Canis lupus familiaris: one gene and its partner. The protein of the gene in region 1 interacts with the protein of each later gene in a biochemical or structural test. Links are inferred from orthologs where the notes say so. Each region holds a gene or a part of one and is shown on either strand. Other genes may lie near its edges.

Evidence for each region. The genes of interacting proteins can lie anywhere in the genome.
Region 2: the proteins of STON2 (region 1) and SYT1 form a complex in vitro, tested with the Homo sapiens proteins (2 studies listed by BioGRID). The link is inferred for Canis lupus familiaris from reciprocal best matches to the Homo sapiens genes STON2 and SYT1.

What each region holds. Positions count from the first base shown.
Region 1 is NC_049229.1:53,904,020-53,907,537, forward strand, and holds part of STON2 (stonin-2), read right to left. Parts: intron 3,268-3,518; coding exon 3,065-3,267; intron 1,458-3,064; coding exon 1,374-1,457; 3' UTR 1-1,373. UniProt on the Homo sapiens protein: Adapter protein involved in endocytic machinery. Involved in the synaptic vesicle recycling. May facilitate clathrin-coated vesicle uncoating.
Region 2 is NC_049236.1:22,131,656-22,135,173, reverse strand, and holds part of SYT1 (synaptotagmin-1), read right to left. Parts: intron 932-3,518; coding exon 809-931; intron 1-808. UniProt on the Homo sapiens protein: Calcium sensor that participates in triggering neurotransmitter release at the synapse. May have a regulatory role in the membrane interactions during trafficking of synaptic vesicles at the active zone of the synapse.

The sequences.
Region 1 (3,518 bases):
CTAAATTTTCCCGTCGAGATTGGATATATCATTTATTTCTCTGTGTCATCTGACATATCAGAAATCTGACAAGCATGCTTTCTGTCCCTTTACTCTATTTTTCATGGGAAAAATAGGCAGATAGAACCTGCCTTTAAATTGTCAAGCAGCTATCCCCTTTGGGATGGCCAATATGGTTCCGTGCATGGTAAGGAAACACCAAGATACAAATAAGAATTGGAGGTACAGAATGTAAACGGGAACATATGAAGGGAAAGATGACTGAGTGTCCCAGACTCTTGGAATCAGGACTTGATTCCCAACATTAGAAAAACAAGGCTTTTCTCCCTTCTCTATCCTAGAGACTTCTGCCTTTTAGGCGTATTACAATACTGTGATTATCAAACTCTGAATTTTGGGGAAAAGTTGTTTTTAAACAGCTTTTAAAATGATCTTTTCCATTTATATTTCCTGTAAAATCTGAGTTAAAGAGACATGCTTGAGGTATAAAAAGAGCTCCCAAATGCTGCTGACAAATGCCTGAGGTATAATAGATAGATATATGTTCATTTGTTTCAGGAATTAGAAAAGACCTACATTTCAATGTGAATCTGGGAAATTCACTGAGACTGAATTTCCTGAATGGAATATAAACTTAATAATTAATGTCCCTTTTCCCCAGAATGAAGAAAAATAAGCTCAATTTTGCTTTCCCTTCAAGAGCCACCCTTTGCAGAATGTGGGGCCAATCATAGAATAAAAAAGTATCCTATTGTGCCTTTTCCCCATTGTGTATTATGACTCAGGGTGGTGAACCCTGGGACTAGAGAGATGGAAAAAGAATTTCAATTAAAACAATCCAAAACCAGGAGAGAAATGTCTTCTGTTGCATAGTGTTAACATTTAAAGAATGGAGACATGTACAAAAAGCCTACTAGATCCAAAAAGAACATTTGTTTTGTACCTCTTCTGAACCTTTCCTAGAGGGAGTGACAGAGGTGGAGTCTCAAGACTGTTTTCTAGAAAATCATGTAAGTGACGGATGAACACTGGAAGTAAACCCTGCCAACACTGATGTGGAAGGTTTTTCTCCTGATGCCAATAGTCACAACAAACTACCACTCAAGTGCTAGGATATAAGCAAAGGAGAAGGAGGCTTAATTAGACAATAAGCTCCAAAAGTTGGGTGAACCAGGTGCTTCAGGCATATCAGGGTCTCTCCAAAGCAATCACCTTAAGGTTTCCTGTTAAAATACAGGTAACTACAAACAGGAAAGTCTGAGATACTGTTCCCAACATGGAGTAGCCATAGTAGGTACTGCCTTGTACTTCAGCTACTCAGGAAGACATCCTATCACGACTCTTGGGTCAGGGCCCCCTGCAGTAGGGCTTTGTCACTGGACCCCACACTCCTTGGGATTTTCCATTTCATCTCCTTCAAAGTCGGGCTTCAAACTCTTTTTTTGCTCAATTTCCACCTGCCAAAAGTAGAAGTTGGAAAGAAATATCAGAAGGAGGAGAAAAACATCCTAATAATAAATAATCCCAAAGAGAATAGCTCACTAGATTCTCTGAGATTCCCTGTAATTTTGTTACCATTTTGGGCTTTAGCCACAGTGAAGCTACTGGTCCTGAGTACATCATGATTCTCTCTTTGCTTGGTCTGGAATTCCCTCATCTTTAGGGTTTACCTGGAAGATTTTTATTCTTTGCCTTGCACAGCTGCTCAAAGGTCACCTCTTCTGTGAAGCTGTTCTCAAGTCATTAGGAAGGTAGGTGCTCCTCTTGTGCATATTTCCTGTACCTGGTATACCTGCTCACCACAGCGCAGGCTCCCTAGGACAGGGGTAGGCCCTTGTCTACTACTGTACTCCAATAAAGCAGGCATGCAGCAGGCAAGCACAAAGGTTTATCAAATGAATGAATTCCTTCCCTTGGCTGTTCATACTCTACTACTTTATTGTTTTACGAAGTCTCCAAATTGGTAAGCGTTGTACCATTTACAGTTCTACCTGTGTTTTCTGCAAAATATTGTAGCTTTAACTATAAAGGGATTAATAAATTCATCTTGCCATGAAAGTGACACACACACTGAAGCCTTTGACAAGTCAGAAAAGAAATACGTCAGGCAAGAGAGTTTCTTAATTAAAGCTGGTCCTCTCTTTATCACTTTGGATATTTATGATAAAGGAAATAACCAAACAGTTGACTAGGGTCATGCTTGATGAAAGTGCTTTTTTTTCCCCTGGCCACAAGATGGAGTATGTGTTCTTGTTGGTAGTTTAAGATTTTCGATAATGCAACTAAAGAAATATTTAAAGAACAATAAATAACCATAAAAATCAAAGGATATTATGAATTTTAAAAGTTATTAAATCACTTTGCAAAATGTGTTTTCAGTAACCCCCACTTTCTATCACTGACCTTTAATCTGCTATTGAATTTCTAACACCTCAAAATGGAATCTCTATGTCAGAACACTACAACTTTGTTTCCTCCTTCCATAGCCCTGATCCTGTTACTATTACCGAAGCTTGCTTGGCTTTTGAATTTTGTCCTGTTATAGCCCAGTGACCAGGTCATATGTGTCCTGACTTTATTTGGATCTACATCATCAACTCTGAAGCTGAAATACATGCTTTGGGTTGGCACTCTCCCAAACTCCCCACTACTTCCAAATTTACAACTCCTCCAACATATATTATGAATGAGTATATAATACTATGATGCAGTCACTCATAATATTCATAATATTATATGTAATATGCAATTAATAATATGTATTATATAATCATCATCCCTTTACCCCAATGACCCTTTTGATGATGTTCATGATGACTGAAAGACATTAATTTATTCTCCTTTTCATCTGCCTCTATATTTTTTTGCAACTTTTCTCTTGCTCACTAGAGAGGTTAGTCAGTCATTCAAATCAGAGTAGACTCATCCATAGCAATGTGGGGTGTACCTCTCCAAGTAAGAGAACACCTTGCATCCATGGCAGGCACTGATAAAGGGAACAAGAGATGGGGGAGGGGTAAACAAATGGTCTTGGAAACATTAGCCAGATGTCTCCCGAGGCTACCTTGTAGCTGTAGTGTGCGGAATAATTGACCCACTTCCTGACGTCAGTCTTGTCTTCCACGGAGATGGATCTTACAGAGGCTTTAGAGGCAGAAGTTGTAGGCATGCTGAATTCAACATTCACGTGATTGGCAAATCTGGAAGGCACTTCCCGGTCAGAGCCAAGTTCAAGGTGGCAGAAGAAACAGTGTGGGTGACCAGAAGCTATGAAAGGAAAAGAATCTAGACATTAGGTTCTTTGGAAAGATGTGAAAGGAGAGGCCAAAAGAGTCACCCCAGTAACAAAGAAGGCCTGAAGACTGCCTCCCAGCTCAGCACCGGGCAGTCTTTCAGAGGGTCCAATGCCAAGCAGAGGATTTACCTCAACAGAAATCACACTGCCTATGCCTCAGACCCTTTGATAGAACTATGTGATTACAATAGCCTTGTATCCTAGCAATAAAACCCACAGCCTG
Region 2 (3,518 bases), on another chromosome or scaffold:
TGTATACAATGGAATATTCCTCAGCCATTAGAAATGACAAATACCCACCATTTGCTTCAACGTGGATGGAACTGGAGGGTATTATGCTGAGTGAAGTAAGTCAGTTGGAGAAGGACAAACATTATATGGTCTCATTCATTTGGGGAATATAAAAAATAGTGAAAGGAAATAAAGGGGAAGGAGAGAAAATGAGTGAAAATATCAGTGAGAGTGACAGAACATGAGAGACTCCTAACTCTGGGAAATGAACTAGGTGTGGTGGAAGGGGAGGTGGGCAGGGGTGGGGGTGACTGGGTGACGGGCACTGGGGGGCCACTTAGCGGGATGAGCACTGGGTGTTATGCTATATGTTGGCAAATTGAACTCCAATAAAAAATAAAATAAAGCTTTGGTTGAATGGTGGTTTGTTTCAACAGTTCCTCGCCCTGTTTGGATCTAATGCCATGAATTCCAAGGGCGATTGTTGGAGCTCAGGCTGATGGGCCAGTGGGAGCCAGACTGGCTGGGAGCCGTCAGAAACAGACTGGACGACTTGCCAAGTTCATTTGTATTCTGCTTGCCTGCTCTAAGTGCCATAAGTAGATGTAATCGGTTGAATACTGTGAATTCTAATTACCAGAGGTTAAATTAGCAAGTAGGGGACTGCCTGTACTTAGAAATTATTTCATCAATAGCTTTGATAATTGCATTTTCCCCTCGCGGCACACGAAATGTTTTAAGAAGTATCTTGCTTCAATTCCTACTTGGTAATTTCAGAAAACATAATGGAATTAGAATTCATCCCCCACCCCCCCCCAAGCCCTCAGACCTGGTTATTCTGGAAATCATAATCCAGTGAATATTGAAGTTTGCCCAATTTCTCCTCTTCCTTGGGCTCTTCCTTTTCTTCGCCATCAGTCAATCCAGTTTCAGCATCATCGTCCTTTAGAGCCTAGGAGTAGGGAAACGAATGATACATGAATTCAAGTGAATTCAGTGAAACCCACATCAACCTGGGCCTGTGGTTACACTTCCAAGCTGTTAGAAGCAAGCACTAAGATGCTGGAAATCCATTTGTCTGACACACATTCACATTTGCTGCTTATAGATTTTTAAAATTCCACTGGTGCACGGAATTTTCTTCCCAATCAGCAAGCAACATGAAAGCAATGGAAGAAGCCCCTCAGAATATTGCAAGCGAAAAATGTAAAGTTGTTGCAAAGAAAATGTCCACTTTGGTAAAATGTTTGGCTTTGGTTAAAACCGCTTCTTTCGGAGGTATGATAAACATGCTATTAACCAGGCCAGGTTTCACATTCATGTAGTTGAAAGAGATCTAAGCTAAGCATCATGTAAAACACCATTGTTACATGCAGCGGAGTATTTATATGAAATGCGTGGCCTTTTCTTGCCTTGTTTCCTATGAGAAAGGTAGCTGAGTAAGTGATTCTCCAAGAATTTCCATTTCCTAAGTTTCACATATACATTTATAATGGTTATGGAAAAAGTGGAAGAAACATGCCACCAGCAAATGCATGTTGAGAGAAAAATCTACCCCGCTTCCAGTTTAAGTTTACCATTTTATTTTTATAACAGCTCCACAGAAAGCTAGGCTGAATTAAATTGATTTATGGGTCTATTTGATACCAAAAAACAAGAGCAGTTATGTTTACAATTTTGTCAAGCTGAAATCAGTATAAACATTTATTTTGCGTTAATGAACAAAAATCATGGTTCTGAACTCTCAACTCAGTTTGGACCAACTGGGTATTCCTCATCATCTAAACCTTAGTGTAATGTAAATTGACATACTAGAAAGCTCATTATTTCACAAAATATATTCAAATGCTCCTCTCTTTTGAACATAAAAATAGATAATGTATTTCCCATTGAATACAACAACTCTGCTGAAAAAAATCAAAGGTTATAAAGATGGTAAATATTAGGAGCTTTGTTTCTAAGGATATGCATTCTTACTGCTTTAGAGAATTGGAAAAAATAATTTAAAAAGCTATACATAGTTATTCAAAATTAAAAATGATAAAATTACATTTCCCTGACCACTAGTGAGTGGAAAAATTTGAAAATCTTCATAGTAACCAATTGTATTTGTTCTTCTGGGAACTGCTTGTATACATTCTTTGCTGAATTTTTTATTGTTTTTTTTGGTTCTTATTGATTTCTAGAGAAATCATTGTATTTTAGTGGTCTCAGCTTTTATATATAATGCAAATCTTCTTCCATAGTTTTTGGTTATGGCATTTTTATTGCCTTTCATGTATAGGTGTGTGAGTCAAAATAAGACAAAGTGGCAGGCTGCTTTGTATCTATGATAAAGTAAAGGAATTTTAACCCCTGTCAGCAAGTCAAATCTGAGAATTCTTGTAGAACTCAAATGCCAGAAGTATATCCGGATTTCAGAAAGGCATGAGTCGTCAGACTGCAGCTCCATCCCCTAGCCTCTCCTGACCTTCCAGATTTCGTGCTCTCTCTTCTCTGCTGAGTGAAAGCTTTACTGTTCATACATTTACACGGAGATTTCTCTGTGGTGCTTCAAAATGGCACTGAAATTGACAAGATTTTCCAATTTGGCTCTACTCAGCCAACTCCAGTTTGATCTTAAAAATACCCCTGAGACTTGATGGCACTGCATCAATAGAACTCATTTGGGTGGGAAGATCTTATAAAACAGCAGAGATGTAGTTGGAGATGCCTCCATTTCTGTGCTGCTTGAAAATTTTCAGGAGCCTATAATGAGTTTAGAAAATCAAAAATTATCATTATTAATTACATCTATGTAGGAAAGTTTATACTTAAATGTTTTTCTGAATAGTAAAATGTTGGTTTCCTGACAGCCAAAGGCAGGAAACAATTTAATTACTGAAAACGTACATCTTTTAACTTGGGGGGGTGGGGGTGAGGGGGGATAGATCATTAAAGGGAACATGCTATTAAAGTGACCAGAAAAGGCTACTGACTTTAATTAGAGGAGCTGAGGCAGTGAAATCACCTAGCCCTTTCAAAACCTTAGCTGTGTGTCAGTCTTTAACACTCCTGTAGATGTGCTTAGGAAATTGCAGCTTAGGTAAATTGCCTCCCTCTAAGATTTTAAAGTTTTTAAAAATAATAGCAAGCTATTTAGTACATATTTCTGTCTGAAAAATCTACACATTACTCTATCATAATTATAAAAAAAATCATGGATTAAAATACTTTTTCAAAAGTCTCTTTCAGAACTGACAATTTACATATCATGTTTCAGCCCAGTGCAATTTGAAATAGCTGAGATATTAAATCTCCTTCTTCCTAAGTGGTTTTTGCCCTAATAAAAGGTACAGGACCATCTCTGCAATTACTCTGTATGAAATAGGGCTAAATTTTTGATAATTTCTCAGTGCCACTGTTCATCACTGAAGTGATTAAGTCTATTCTTGTCCTGAAGGCTGAGCTTAAGCAGGACGTCTTCTCGACCATCACATTAAATTCAGGCCTATTAAATCAGTAGCTATTATAATATCTCAAGAGCAATACTCCCTCCG